2 linked regions of the Stegostoma tigrinum genome follow. The protein of the gene in region 1 purifies or fractionates together with the protein of each later gene. This does not show direct contact. Links are inferred from orthologs where the notes say so. Each region holds a gene or a part of one and is shown on either strand. Other genes may lie near its edges.

Region 1 (7,984 bases):
AGGATTACAGGGCATTGGTGAGAGCATGCCACGCAGCTTTGTGTCCAGTTTTGGTTTCCCTACCTAAGAAAGGACATACTTATAATTGGGGGAGTGCAGTGTAGGTTCACTGGGTTGATACCAGGGATGGCAAGACTGTCCTGTGAAGTGAGATAGGCTTGGCTGTGCTATGGCCCATTGGTTCAACATGCTGTAAATCATGCCCCACTATTCTCAGAGTCAAACTAAATGTTAAAGTTTTTTTAAAGTACGCAATGTTCCCCAATTTACCTGACTTTTGAGCCAAGATTGATAAAAATGTAGATCAGATTTCTGTGCTCACCAAGAATTAATATTTATTGTAAGTAATTACATAATAGCTATGAGTAGACAGATATAAAACATTAACATATAACACTATAATGAAAACTCTAATCCCTTATAAACTGTCCCGCAGACACCCAAACACACATTCACATACACACCCGCTCACACAGACACAGACATACACACAAACAGACAGTCACAGAAACACGTACATACACACAGATACAGAGACACTCTCAGACATAAGGAAACTCACAGACACACACACACACACACACTTTTTGATTCTGACCTGGAAATGATCCATTTTCGGCTCATCTTGATGGTCTTTCTCTGGAAGCTAATGCAGGTTTGTAAGAAATAGAAAGCAATTCATTCACTTAGAAAATGTCTCTGACCTACGCACTCAAAAGTCACAACGCACAGCAACTGCTGCAGGAAAGGTACCGTTTTGTTTTAAATTTAAACTGAGTCTTGCTTTACTGCAGCAAACAGGCTACTTCAGCTTTGAAGAAGAGGAGAGCACACTTTTCTGCTTTTCTCTCTCTCTCTGTCTCTGACTCTGAAACCTGTTTCCAGTTCCAAACTGCTCAGTCAGCTGAGACACAACCAGGTTCACTTTTAGACAAATCCTTGACTCCTGAAAGGGAGGCATGTCCCTATTTACATCGACGGATCTGAGGTTTAGAGAGTTGAGAGTATTAAGTTTGTGCAGTGACCATAGCGAACAATCTGTCCTGGATCTCCCACGTAGATGCGATGGTCAAGAAGGCACAAAAATGCTTCTTCTTCCTTGGGACTGTCACAAAATTAGACATGCCCATGAGGACCCTCGCAAACTTTTGCAGTTGAGCCATGGAAAGCATTCTATCTGGGTGCATAATGGCATGGTACGGCAACTGGCCTGCCCAGGAGCATAGGAAGCAGTGGAAAGTTGTGTGCACAGCCCAGGCCGTCACAGAAGCCAAACTCCCATCCAAGTCCCACACAAGTCCCTCGACTGATATTGAGCCTTGACTGACCAAGTTCGTAGACCCTGACTGACATTAATCAGCCTTGACTTGATTGAGGATGCACTTCTTAGACTTTGAGTTCATGGCTGTTTGGCTGAGGCACATACAGTATGTTTGCTGCGTTAGCTGTTGTCACACGGTGTACTTGTGAGATTCATGTAGCACAGTGTCATACATAAACACTTCTACACCCTGGATGGATCACAGCTGGGAAACATGACAAGCTACCCTGCTTTGTGTCTGTGCCAAAGGATAAGGCAGGACAAATGTACCATGACGCTGTAAGTTCTGAATGAGGCATTAAAATGACAATATAGGGGAAGGTCAAGGTAAGACAGAATTGCTGTGAGCATCCAAGAAAGTACAAAGTGAATGAGGGCTAAGTGAGGTGTCCTAAGATGCAATCTGTTCTGATTTATGAAATGGATGTTGACCATGTGCAAAAAGATAGCCAGACACGTGTCCAGAGTCAACCAAAATGGGCAGGGAGGCAGCGAAAGGGTTTGGGGGGAGAGGATGGTGATTGTACAAGTCACTCCACTGCCTGTACAGTGTGCCCTAAGAGATTGAACATAGAACATAGAAAAATACAGCTCAGAACAGGCCCTTCAGCCCTCCACGTTGTGCCGACCTGTGAACTAATCTAAGCCCATCTCCCTACACTATCCCATCATCATCCATATGCTTATCCAAGGACTGTTTAAATGCCCCCAATGTGGCTGCGTTAACTACATTGGCAGGCAGGGCATTACATGCCCTTACCACTCTCTGAGTAAAGAACCTGCCTCTGACATCTGTCTTAAATCTATCACCCCTCAATTTGCAGCTATGCCCCCTTATACAAGCTGAAGTCATCATCCTCGGAAAAAGACTCTCACTGTCCACCGTATCTAATCCTCTAATCATCTTGTATGTCTCTATTAAATCCCCTCTTAGCCTTCTTCTCTCCAATGAGAACAGACCCAAGTCCCTCAGCCTTTCTTCATAAGGCCTTTGCTCCAGACCAGACAACATCCTGGTAAATCTTCTCTGCACCTTTTCCAATGCTTCCACATCCTTCCTGTAATGGGGCGACCAGAACTGTATGCAATATTCCAAGTGAGGCCGCACTAGCATTTCATACAGTTGCAGCATGACATCACGGCTCCAGAACTCAATCCCTCTACCAATAAAACCTAACACACCGTAAGCCTTCTTAACAGCACTATCAACCTGGGAGGCAACTTTCAGGGATCTATGGATATGGGCACCAAGATCCCTCTGCACATCCACACTACCAAGAATCTTTCCATTGACCCAGTATTGTGCCTTCCTATTATTCTTCCCAAAGTGAATCACCTCACATTTATCTGTATTAAACTTCATTTGCTACCTTTCAGCCCAATTCTGCAGTTTATCCAAGTCTCTCTGCGACCTGCAACACTCTTCCACACTGTTTATCACTCCCCCGACTTTAGTGTCATCTGCAAACTTACTGACCCATCCACCTATGCCTGCGTCCAAGTCATTTATAAAAATGACAAACAGCAGTGGTCCCAAAACAAATCCTTGAGGCACACCACTAGTAACCGGACTCCAGGCTGAATATTTTCCATCAACCACCACTCGTTGCCTTCTGACAGAAAGCCAATTTCTAATCCACACTGCTAAATCTCCCTCAATCCCATACCTCCATATTTTCTCCAATAGCCTACCATGTGGAACCTCATCAAAAGCTTTACTGAGGTCCATGTACACCACGTCAACTGCCCTACCCTCATCCACATGATTGAAAACTCAATGAGGTTTGTGCGACACAAGGGAACAATTGGGAATGATTGTTCAAGGCAGAGTCCCATCTGCTCATGTTGGGAATTGTCGGCATCCAGCAAACTGCATGTAAATGCATGTAACTGAAGTGAAACTTGTTAATAATGAGATGTTAATGTGTACAAACTTTTCCCCTTGCCACTCATCAGTGAGGTTCTTATCTTGTTGTTAAAACCTTGAATGGAAATCAGCCTTCTTTTTCTCAACTTCAAACTTCTTATTTTTTTAATCTTGTGCATTTTCCCAACTGACTCACCATTGCCTGGTTCATTCCAGGGCACGAAAGATTCCACTCAAATTGTTCCATACTCCAGCCATTCCCTGAGATGTGTGAGCTCCCAGCTTCACTAGGACATTTGTAAGTAGCATTCAATGGTAGAAGCGATGACAGCTGCCCCATACAGGCTGAGCAGTGTCAATGGGAATGATTGATTTGACTGCAACACAGAGAAGCCAGTGGAATTAGGCGAGGAAGATGTTTATGTCTGGGACTAGTGCAGGGACAAACTTGAACCATTTATTTACAATAATCAAATTGTTACCAAGTTTTAACAACAGAATATTATTTGGCCATTTTGTAATCTTTGGTGAAAGGGCTATTAACATGAGAAAGATATTTTCAGATCATCTTTCTTAGCAATGTTTTGACACACTTCTGGAGCAAGTGGGACTTGAACCCAACCCTTCTGGCTCAGAGATAGGGGCATGACCACTGTACCCCAAAAGCCTTTCTTGTTACCATTAGGAAAGGCAGCAATTTCCAACTTACACATGCGGGTTGATATCAAGTCCAACTGATGCACCAATGATGGTTCATCTGCATTGCTGAAGGCTCCAGCCTCACAGCAGAGCAGCTGCATGATATCTTACTACTTACTGCTTCATTTTGGGGACTTTTGTTTCGAAGGATTCCCAGTTTCCAAGGCAGTTTTACCTGTGGGTTGATGACTCTTGGAAACAGGCTTGAGGTTTCTCCATCTCATAGCAGCTGGTCATTTCTCTTACACCATGGCACGATTGTTCCTCGAAAAAACAAGCTGTTTTCAATGTATAGTGCATGAAGTAACTTTCAATTGAACTTAATTCTGCTATTGAAACCAACACACCTGCAATGAGGAACCCGAGAGATCAGTCTTAACAGCCTTCTCCATTTCTCTGCTGTTGCTCAATTCGACAGGAAGTGGTCGGTTGCCTTTTGCTGGCTGTGGAGATGAGATGATTTGTCAGAGAAGACAAAGAATCTCTGAGGTAAATGCCACGTTTGATCACAAGGTGCTGAACGATGAAACAACAACAATGTGTGTGGAACAGATCAATTAATTCAATGGGTTTACTTCATTGAGATTGGGTTTGTACAATTTCATCTTGCCTCAAAATCCAACCAGTTTGAACAAAAGGAATACCAACATTTTCACCGTCTTGAGTTAATAATACCATGCACGGGAGATAAAGTTTACAACCAAACAAAAAGGTAAGTTGAAAGTTTTTAAAGAGCTTCTGCAGTATCTTATACATCATTCTTTACAGCTCTGGAACATGTTGCTATCAAAATTATTTTCAATATCATGTGAAGATATATTTTCCTCTTTGTGGATGGCATAGATTTGTATTTTGAAGTAAGTTTGCTTCTAATGCTCCCTGGAGTTCAGGACAGTTGAGTAGCTTGGAAACTGTTGCACAATCAAAATGATATATCCCTGGATAAACTGATTGTATTTCATTATAAAACTGAAATACTGTTTAATGTCTACTGTGTGAGAATATGATTTTCTGCATAATTCTAACTCCTTCAAGCCACTGGATCAATATATTGTAGCAAATCCAAATACCATATTTTAAAATGTGTGGCAGTAAGCTATGCACCCTAACTGCTTACTTCAGGTTAACTGGGAGATATTTAAAAACAAAATATACATTATTTAAGACTTCCTTTTCTGTTAAGTTTATAACTATAACTCTCAAGTGTCCTGTTTTAACTGATTTCCTACTGATTTTCTGGTCATACAGTAAGCATTGAAAAGAATTCTGTTTGTTTATGGAATGGAGAAGTTTATTTACAGCAATCGCTAATATTCTGTTCTGGGTGGGATACTGTTTTACTGCTGAGTTATTCATTCTCACCACTCAAATATAAAATTCCTTTTTAGCGAGAGTCTGGGCATGATAAATGCCTTCTTAAATAACGTGCATTTATATAAGATAATTTACATGAATTTTTTTTTAATAATTATTAGGCATAGTGGAGAGTATGCTTGCACAGCCAGAAACAGCTCTAACATAACTGTGGATGTGACCACATGGATGTTCAGCGTGAATTCATTGTTGTTTGTCTTGCCCGAGAGCAGATTCTGGATTCATTCTCTGTTGATGCTTCATCCTGAATTGTCTTCTTGGTGGATCCTTTTCTTGGTGGTTTGTCATTGTCACCCATTCCCGGGGCAGGACGAAGAGGCCGGTCCTAAGCCAACTCAGCATTGGAATTAAACCTATGCAGCTGCTGTTATTTTACAGCACACACCGGCCATCTCGACAACAGAGCTAACCAGCCCCAATTCAACATAACATCCTCTTTCATATAGATCAGGGATAGAGAAAAAATGAAAATATGTTGGCATTTTGTGACTGGAAAAACATCTAGTTCTTCAAAATGCTAATGATATAATTGATGGTACCACACATTTTCAATTTATACATCCACAAGATTTTATCCCCAGGACAACCAGTAATTGCAAAATGGGCGTCATACTTATAAAATAAAGAAAATGAATAATTGTAACTTCTTTTACCACTGTTTGTTCCACATGATTTTTCTTGACTATCCACGAGGATGTATTTGTCTTGTGTCTCAATACAAAGTTCACACAATCCCAGTGTAGTATCCATTTGATAGGGATGAATATATCTGAGCCAACGAGCAACAAAATCAAATGTGAGATCTTGATCCAAAAACTGAACAGTGAGAAGGTACTCTCTTTAAAGCTGAGGACATTACAATTCTGTTAAATGAGTCCATTGCTTCTATTAATTTTTTTCCATTTTTCAAAGGCTTTAAGCGCAGGAGATTTCATTGAAACTGCCACAGCTTAGATTCACCATGGCCTGTACCTAGTTAGATTGAGTAATCTGAGCCAGCCCAGTTCAGTTCTAGAATTGATTTTAGTTTATATTCACTAAGACTTTGTCCATATTCTTTCAGCTAAGATTGTATTGTGGAGTTCTGCTGCATTGAACAATTGGAAATTCGCTTCTGATCTTTACTGCAATGACTTCCAACAAAACACACTTGCTGTGATTAAATAGTTTTGGAAGGAAAATGAGAATTGCAAATAAAAAGCATTCTAAAGTTCAACATTAAAAGGAATTTTATTATAGTATTGCTTCATGGTACATAATCTCAATAAATGGTTATATTCTTATAATAAAATAAAGAAAGTAGGGGTGGAGGTTAGATAGACCTCAGGTTTAGGATACAAGTTCAGCACAATATCATGGGTCGAAGGCCTTGTACTGTTCTATGTTCTATGTTCTATATTTTAAGGCGGATGCTGGACGTCTGAAACAGAAACAGAAAATGCAGGATAAACTCGGCAGGGTTGGCAGCATCTGTGGAGAATAAGCAGGATTAACATTTAGAGTCCAGAGGCCCTTCTTCAGAGGAAAAAGGATCTTCATTGAAGGGCCACTGGGCTCTGCTTTCTCTGCACAGACGTGGCCAGCCCTGCTGAGTTTCTCTGGATTTGCTTTATATAGGGAAAAAATCCCATAGCAAGTCATAAAACAAAACTTGACACCAATCTAAAGAATGAAATATTTGGGTAGACAGCTAAAATCTTCGATAAAATAATACATTTTAAGATGCATTGTGAATGAGAAATAGAGATGGAGCGGTATGAAGTGAGAATTCCAGCACTTAGGGTCTTGAGGCAGCTTGGGCTACAGCTGTCAGTGTAGGGCAGAGGGAGAAAGGGATGTACAATAATCCAGAATTGATGAAACATTGAGTGTTTGGAGGGCTTTGGGGCTTCAAGTGGTTAAAAAGCTCGGGAGGCTTGAGATCATGGAAAATTTGATCTTATTAAAATTGAGGCATTGTTAGATTACGAGCCAATGTAGATTAATGAGCGTTAAAGATAATACATGTGAAGAACTTGGTCTGAGTAAGAATACAGACAGCAGAGTTTTGGATGAACTCAAGTTTGTGGAAAGTGGAAATTGAGAGGCAAACCAGAAAATCATTGAAAGTATTGAGTCTGGAGCAGTTAGGCATGGTAGAGGTTGTTAATGGCAAGTGGTGGGAGGCAGGGTGGAGACAGCAAATAAATTTCTACAAAATTCTGTTCAATATTATAAAATAAAATTAGGAAACTGAACCATAAACTAATCATCCTTGCTCAGCTCTTTGGCATTATGATACAATTTTAATTTTGATGCATATCACAAGATTATTTCTACATGACTTACGAGTAAAATTTCATATAGTGTCTGTAATTTGTAATTTAATACTTTTAGCACTGAATTGCACATGTAAATCATAAAGTTGGAATGTTACTGTTTAACTGGAAAAATATGAAATAGCATTTAATGACACCTTAATATGAATGTGCCTTTGAAATATTAATTCATTAACATTATTTATCTCTTTAAAATGGTTTCACTGCTTTCAGCTCCCATTTTCTAATTTTCAAATTGTTTAGACAAGGTAAACAAACAAATGATGGATGTTCCCAATGACCAGGGAGTCCAGAACCAGGTCTAAGGGTACAGAGTGGGCCATTTAGGACTGAGATGAGGAGAATCTTCTTCACCCAGAGAGTGATGAGCCTGTGGAATTCTCAGCCACAGAAAGTAGTTGAGGA
Region 2 (8,479 bases), on another chromosome or scaffold:
ACACTCTGGAATATGTTTTACCCGTGAGAGTTTCTTTATTTTAGATGAAAGAGTAAACCTGTTAAACTCACTGTTCTTTAAGGTGGACACAAAAGATTCCTTGACATTCTTAGAAGATTAGTGATCTCCTCACTTATCCTTCCACCAAAATCAGTGAAATAAATTAGCTGGTTCCTGTCACGTTGTTAACGGTGTTGGAGCTTGCTGCATGCAGAATGGCTACTGTTTCTAAAATTACTGTAGTGATTGCACTTCACTATGATTTCTTTCACTTTGTGCTGTCCTGAGGGTGGTGAATACTGCTGTAGAAATACAAATCTTTTCTATGTGAAGCGCAGCAACATTACTGTTTTAAAAACTCAGTGCCTAATATAGCCAGAGGATGTGTTTTACCCTAGATTAAACCCCCTCCTGTACATACACAGGGGTAACTACTGCTTTGTGTAGTAGGCTCCTTCATTAGGATACTTTTTCAGAATCTCCTCTCTCATGTAAAACAATGATCTTTCACCAAGTCAATGTATCAATATTGCCACATAAATCTCATGCTGGCCAGCAGGGAACTCTTAAAAACATGCCACGAGAAGACCAGATGGTAGACTTTTCTGCATTAAATTCTGGATAAGGACAGACTCCATCAGGGAAAAAAATTATAGTAGACCACATTAATTTCCACTTCCAGTTGGAGTATCAGTTCTAGTTTTCTGACAAATGTATTTCTTTTCCGGAAACCTTGTGTGGGCATGTAGATGAAATTCTGTTTCCCTACTCCCCACAATGTTGTGACCTTCATCACGCACCACCCTGACACACTCATCCCATAGTACAGCGAATGATGAGTGACTGTATCAGGCATTAAGAGTTAACAAATGAGTGACATATTTTCTTCATTTCAAATAGACAGGACAAATCGTGGAAAACCTTGATTGTGCCATCCGCTGCCACTTTAAAAATGCAAGGATGGGTAGTGAAACCAGCTAAATTGTATTTGTAAGGAGCCAGCATGGACTTGATTAGCCAAATACAGCATTCTGTGCTGTGGTCATTCTGTGATTTTATTCAACTGCTCTGTTGAACAGTGTGGAACAAGTATGATGTTTGGGATTATTTGCCCTTGCAGTCCCCTATGACACTATAACTGGGATCTCAGGTCTTTATTTTACTGACGTGATCATCGTACATTTTAGTGAGAAATAAAAATTCCAAGGGGAAAATGCACCATCTGTGGTTTAGTAGGAAGATTAAAGACGGTATCAAACTGAAAATGGTGCAGATCCAAAGAATTGACATAATATATTTTAAAAAGCACAGATTGATTAAAAGGTTAATAAGGAGAGAAAAATTAGAATGAAGCAGAGTGGAGGGAGGAATGAGCGATCACTCCATCATTACCCAGAAGCCTAATTCACTTCTTTGCTGCTGATCCTTGGGAGTAGGCACCTTGTTCTGATTTTGACTAGGAGCTATGTTACCATGGCCAAAGACATTGGGTGAAAGTGCCATATTGTTATGAGTTGATGACAAATATCCTGGGTTCAATGTATAAGAACCAAATGCCACAGTATTGAGAGGGATACAAAAGTAGCCTCAGTTTCTGATCGGAGAAGGGGGTGTTTAGCTGAGCAATAACATATGGCAATCAGGTGAGAATTGATTTAGTTTAGGAATGATTATGGGTAAGGACACTTTGAACCGTGCCGTAGAATTTTTAATATCCACACAGGGCAGCAGTGTACCAGTTTGTCCAAACTGCATCTTACCTGACAACGCAGCACCTTCTCAGAACTGCATGAGTGCCAGACTACATTTAACACCAATAACATGATATAGCATCTTCTTATTCAGTCAATATAACCTGGACAACCAGCAGCTGAGTGAAACTGAGATCCCACAACCTGGATAATGTTTTAACACAAATGTTTCTATGAAAGCAGCTCTTCAGGATTGAGATGGATACATATTTTTTGATAGCAAAGCATATGAATAGATATTTGAACAAAGATAGATCATTTCTGATCATCAGTGATTGATAGAACAGGCTTGAGGGGCTGAATAACCTACTCCTAATTCTAACAACCAGGCTGTTAAACCAGATATTACCTTTTATATCTTAGACTTTTTCTAGTGCTTATTACCCAGATAAGCAAGACATGCTACATAACTACTCTCCGACCTGGCCTACACTGAAACATACAAATCTGACGTGAGTTATTCTGGTTGTTGTAATGAGAATAGTGTTGTTTTAAAGCGAGTGACAAATGTGCAAAGGTGGTATGAAGAAAAGCATTTCTACGTTGTAGTTGAGTATGAACTGGAATACGCTGCAGGAAGTAGCTATAGACTACAGAAAGGGTGGGTGGATTCAATCATAGCTTTCCAAAGGGAATTTGCTAAATGCCCAAAAGATGAAAATGTCAGTAGTTGGTATGTTCATCAGCCTGCTGAACTGTTCCATTCATTTATGTCTCGGATCTGTCTGAATTTTGATTGTTATCTTACCGTAATGATGTGGAGCCTGTCCATATCAAGATTGAATAGAGCTGAATAACTTTTTTGAGTTGTAGAAGTCTGTTTATTGTAATTCTTCCCATTCCATTATTATACTTTGGAAGAATGCAGCTCTCTCTGGACATTGCTTTTCAGGTGTCAGAACTGGTCTCTTGGATTACTCTGCTACTACAGATGTGCTGTATTTTTGACCTGCAGGATTTGAAAGATGTTTCCTCATTTTCATCAAACCAACTCCTGATGCACTTTAGCTATTTGGTCTGAGAAATGTTTGCTGTTTTCACTGATGATGTATTTAAATTAGTGCGTTTCTCAACACAATCTCCATAGAAGTGTGTGCCAGCATGAGCTTTTGACCAATTTTGTTGCAGCAAGCCGTTTTACTGAATTCAGCCATACTGAAGGATCTCTGATGGCTTTTGGTCAGCTGTACTGAGTTGGAACAATTTGCAAGTTGACTATTGCACTCATAGGTCTGTGATCAGTCTACCATTCTGTACATCCTGGCGATCTCTCTGACACACAGTGATACAGTTGATCATGTGTTTTGACCTTATCAACTTGTCTGAACATTGTGTTGTTAATACAGCGTATGTGCTGAGGACACTTTGCTCAGTATTGATGGGTTGCTGTTACATTTATCGCACTTAAACTTCTCGCAACTATCCCATCAAAATTACAGCACTCCATGAGACAACGCTTGCTGATGAGGATCACTAAAGGAAGATGGACATGTCTATACTTTTCTTCTGGAACAGGAAAGTGGAAATACAGGAAACCCTGTATCTCCCTGAACTCCTTTCCAGTTATTGCTGAATTTCACCACATAGGCATTGGTCTCCCAGGAGAATGAGCTTATTACTAACAGATGTAGACAGGACTGATCCAGATCCTCCAATTTATTGTGTCATGTTCTCAGGGCTGCTGAGATTTGGTGTATAGGTACTGATGATGGTCACTTGATATGTTTACTCCAGCGGGAAGTGCAGCTGCATGGGGTGCTTGTTGATTTTGAAGGAAGTGTGTAAGTGTCTTACATTGGGGATGACCTGATGATGAAACCTTCACCATCTATCCTTTTCTTGCTACTCACTTTCCTGTTCCAGAAGAAAAGTATAGACATGTCCGTCTTCTTTTAGTGATCCTCATCAGCAAGCGTTGTCTCATGGAGTGCTGTAATTTTGATGGGATAGTTGCAAGAAGTTTAAGTGCGATAACCAGGAGTTCTCCGTTCAGGCAGTATTGTGTCATCTGTCTAGTAGTTTGCAAATTCCAAGCTTCAGTGATAAATTGTTTTATTTTCTTTGATTTTGACATTATTCAACTGCTTTCTGGATGATCTGCCAGCTGCAGCAGACTGGCAAAATGTTGACAGGGTCGGCAATATTTCAGGTACATTTTCAAACCCCTTCCTCTCAAAGGGTGGACAGTACTGCCCAGTCACCCTGGATGCTGCCAGACTCTCTCATCCCAGGTATGCAGATTAAGTAACCTACAGTGTGGAATCAGGCCCTTCGGCCATGGTCCAAGAGCTGGATAGTAACAATGACCACTAGTGGTCATTGCCATCGGCCACTACACCATGAACCCGTTACTGCAGGGCTTCTGAAAAGACAACATGTTTGTACCAAAACCTTCGAGGGAATATTTAAAAATAAGCAGAGCTGTGGCACAAAAAGCAGTCCACTCCCTCGGGTACAGAAACCTGGTTTCAATGATACAGAGAACCGTTAAGACTGAAGACTTGCTGCTGTGGGTGACTGCTACATCTTTTGAGCATTTTCATGTTCTTTGTGCTGCACTTTGCTGGGCTGCCGCAATGACTGTTGAATCAGACAAGTGGTCTTTCTTACCTAGGTTTCTGGAACAGCCATTGTCTGTGAGAAACAGGCAACTCAGAAACTCGGTAATAAAATATGAGGCTGGATGAACACAGCAGGCCCAGCAGCCTCCCAGGAGCACAAGCTGACTGGTCCAAATTCATTCACACTGCACCAGTAACATCCGAGGGCATTCCCAGTGTGTTATCTGACAGAATTTGACACAGACGCAGGGGGAGCCAGACTGCCAGTCAGAGAAGCAGGTCTTAAACATCTTCAAGACAGCATAGGGGTTTAGTGAGGGCATGCTAGAGCTTGGGGCCTGGGAAGCTGACAGCACGGCCATCGGTGATGGAGTGATTAAAATTAGAGAGACCGGGATTGGAAGATCCTGGTATGTTCTTACAGGTTAGAGCTGGAGGAAGAAAGAGATGGAAATGAAAAGAGATTTGAGAACACAGATGTGGATTCAGTAGTCCAGGAATGAGATATCAGGTCCGACTGTATCTGTGGAGTGAGGGGCGGTTCACATCCAGTTTGACTCCTCTTCGAGATTAATGCTTCCTGTTCCAAATAAGAGTCACATTGAGATTGTATCAGTGAAAATGGGAATTGCAGATGCTGGAGAATCCAAGATAACACAATGTGCAGCTGGATGTGGTCATCCAGCTGCACACTTTGTCACATTGAGATTGGAAACGTTAACTCGATTTCTGTCCAGACCCTGCCAGTGTTTTTTTTTGTGTTTTCTTTTAAAATTTCAGAGCGTTAGCGACCTTCATCTTAAAATCTGAGGGTGTCTGGACCAGGAGCCAGAGTAGGTCAGCGAGCAGAGGGTGGTGATCAGCACTTGGTGCGACCGAAGTGAGATGCTGATGGCTGAGTTTTGGTTGAGGTGCAGTTTATACATGTAAGGCTGGAGACTGGCCTTTGCCATGTACAGTACGCAGGTGCTTTCTAGCACACACCGGCTAGTGCCCGGTAGTGGGAGCTCTGGTTTAAGAGAGACCGGGGGGCCCGAGATTAAGCTGTCAGAAATGCATGGTCTTACATCCTAATAGTTGCTATCCTCGCAACGCTCCGCCCTTTGTTTATTATATATTCAAAACTGCAGCCCATGCTGATATTTTAAAACATAAATGCAATAGAAACGTGTATCAACGAATTTACTGCTCAGGTATTGCGAACGGATTGTACCATTCCTTCAGAAAGGAGAGGGATTCGATGAGAGAGAACAGGGTAACACTGAGAGGTTTGGATGCTTGAGGGGTAAATCCCATCCCCCTCAGTTATTGATGTTGTGTAATTTTATGAATGGGCTGTTTGCGGGGGAGGAAGGAGTGAGGAAGAGTCTATTTGGAGTGGTGGGTGATTGTGTGTGTCCCTTGCGTGTGGGTGGTGCAGTCCGCACTGGATACATTGTAACGGTTTGATTTCCGCTCCAGGTAAAGAGCGGATCCTGCGGCGGCAGCACCAAGAGCTTCGGCTCCGGGCAGGGAGCCGGAGAGACATGAGCTTTTCTGGCACCAAAGCCCTGAGCAGCAACACCAAGAACCAGGACGCGGTCGGCATGAAGGTGAAGAAGGCGCCGCCGAGTGAAGGGCTTCCGGCCACCACCGAGGAGGAGCTGCTGAAGAAGGAGTGTGTGACCCCCGAGGACGTGCTGGGTCTGCAGAAGATCACCCAGAGTGAGTACAGCCTCTTAAAATGGACAGCTGAAAAAACACTGCCGCGGCAAGACCGAGAGCTGGAGGGAGGCAGGAATTGAGCTGCAAGTGTCCCCAAAGTCGGGGAGCCAGAGCTGGGGAAGAGGGGCTCAGAACCCCCTCAGTCCAGAGCCAGGCGCCCACAGAGGCAGGGGTACAGAGTTTCAGAGCTCAATACTCTCCTTAGCCAGGTACCGGTGTGGTGGAGAGTAGAGGCGGTCCTTCACGAGATTGTGTGTGGAAGGTGAGAGTAGGGATGTAGACACAGAGTATCTGAGGTTCTTCTGGTACCCAAAACCTTCAGAGGCTGAGACCTGATAGACGGTACAGGAGGTGGTGAGAACACACATTTCACAATTTGAAAGGGCAAGGATGGAGCCAATGGGTGGCATAAGCCTATTGGAAAGCCTGGATCCAGGCAAATGAAGCAGAGGCCAATGGGAAAGGTGAGTGTGTCAGGCAGAATTTACCTCCTTTAACTGCTTCTGGGCAATCAACTCAATTACTTGTTCACAGTGAGTGTCCACAGGGGCCAGCAGTATCCCAGCGGCTGAGCTGGGGGAGCTGCTCCCAAAACCAGTCACACTTTAAAACCGAGAGTGAGAGTAAGTCTCTCCCAATAAATGACATTTAACAAAAAGTGTTAGTTCCTACCCCCAACTGCCAGTTGGAACACTCTAAAGGAAGTTCAAACTGTCTGTACTGTGATGTCACCTAACAAGTATTATTTTTCAAATGTTACATTATTTTGTGATGGCTTCACCCGCGATGTAAGTTGCATTTTTCCTTGAAGAAATAGTTCCAGTACCTTGAGTAGATAAAGTTGCAACAAATTTCTTAAAAACGAGGCATCAGGTACCAACCCTGCCTTTGAGGAATGAAGAGGCATTACATACATTGGGAAAGCATGGTCATTGCCTTTCCATCCAATGATTGTATGAAGTTAGATACAAACCATAGGATTTGTGTCCAGTTCATCTTTTGTGCCAGATACATTGATAAAAACATAGAAGATAGGAGCAGGAGGAGGCCATTTGTCCCCTCGACCCTGCTCTGCCATTCTTCACAGTCTTGGCTGATCGTTCACCTCATTAGCCCGACCTGCTTTCTCCCCATAATCTCTGATCCCATTTGCCCAAGTGCTATATCTAGTCGCTTCTTGAATATATTCAGAGTTTTGGCATCAGTGACTTCCTGTGGTAATGAATTCCACAGGCTGTCCACTCTTTGGATGAGGAAATGCCTCCTCATTTCCTTGTACTGTGACCCCTGGTTCTGAACACACCCGCCACCAGGAACATCCTCCCTGCGCATCTACCTTGTCCTGCCCTGTTAGAATTTTGTAAGTCTCTGTGAGATCCCCCCTCATTCAGCTGAAAGCTAGTGAAAATATTCCCAACCTAGTCAATCTCTCCGCATACATCAGACTCGCCAGCCCCGGTATCAGCCTGGCAAACCTTTGCTGCACTCCCTCGAGAGCAAGAGTGTCTTTCGTCAGAAAAGGAGATCAAAACTGCATGGTTAATGATATGGTAATTATTTAGAAAAGTTTGGAAAAGCTGTATGCTTCATCTTTGCTAACACTGGGCCTGACCTTCTGATTTACAGCTTTGTTTTAATCCTTTGATTTTCGAGTTAAAGACTTTTTGATTTCTTTGTATAGATTCATGCATTAATTGTGTTTCTTTTTTCTGTTGTCAGCTGTGATTTGTAACTCAAGAACCCAGCAGAGAGCTCTTTAATCCTGATGTGGGTCTTTTGCCCTAAGCTTAGATACATGGCATGTAGTTGCTCACAAATGGTAAACCAGAGGCTCCCAATAACTAAATTTTAAATGGGAATATTCAGCTCTATTGCTTGGAATTTATTTATCGGAATCCATGTACTCCCACTTAGACTGATATTGTCCTGAACTGTGAGGGATTCTGTATTGGTGTGGTTCTGTAAGGGCTGTCAGTGCTGGATTCAGATTCTGCCCGAATCTCTCAGCTCGCAGCCATTCCAACCAAAATTAGAAAAGCAATGTTAGTTGATCCTGCCTGTTTTCCATCTCCTTGGTCGTTTGGTGGCTTCTGGAAACTGACATTCTCAGTAGTTCCCAAGAGTGCAGAGTCCCATCCCAAAACACTGCAGTTAATTGGAAACAGAGGTCCCAGACAGGAATTGCCATTCTCTATCACACTTTCCATTCAAAGAGCGTTTGTCAATTTTAATCAACCTGTTTGGACATGTTATGGTATATCCCTGGGCAAATGGTTCTTGAATCCAGAACTCCTGGCCGAGAGTAGAGACAGTACTACTGAGCCACAAGACTCTGTGAAAGAATTTTATCTTTGGGATTGAAGATAACGAGACAAACTAGTTTTTAAAAAAATCTGTTTTAGTGCAGGTGGAAACACCAGTTTGTAAGTGTTTTATTTCTGAATTCTGGACATAGATTAAAGA

What was found. Proteins that work in one complex are often made in the same cells at the same time.
Region 2: the proteins of lck (region 1) and unc119a purify together in Homo sapiens (affinity purification with western blotting; 3 studies listed by BioGRID and IntAct, with this or other methods). This does not show direct contact. The link is inferred for Stegostoma tigrinum from reciprocal best matches to the Homo sapiens genes LCK and UNC119.

What each region holds. Positions count from the first base shown.
Region 1 is NC_081377.1:45,809,311-45,817,294, forward strand, and holds the start of lck (tyrosine-protein kinase Lck), read left to right. Parts: upstream 1-4,411; 5' UTR 4,412-4,599; intron 4,600-7,984. UniProt on the Homo sapiens protein: Non-receptor tyrosine-protein kinase that plays an essential role in the selection and maturation of developing T-cells in the thymus and in the function of mature T-cells. Plays a key role in T-cell antigen receptor (TCR)-linked signal transduction pathways.
Region 2 is NC_081380.1:47,274,989-47,283,467, forward strand, and holds the start of unc119a (protein unc-119 homolog A), read left to right. Parts: upstream 1-5,345; 5' UTR 5,346-5,369; coding exon 5,370-5,505; intron 5,506-5,537; exon of another isoform or gene 5,538-5,552; coding exon of another isoform or gene 5,553-5,580; intron 5,581-5,773; coding exon 5,774-6,016; intron 6,017-8,479. UniProt on the Homo sapiens protein: Involved in synaptic functions in photoreceptor cells, the signal transduction in immune cells as a Src family kinase activator, endosome recycling, the uptake of bacteria and endocytosis, protein trafficking in sensory neurons and as lipid-binding chaperone with specificity for a diverse subset of myristoylated proteins.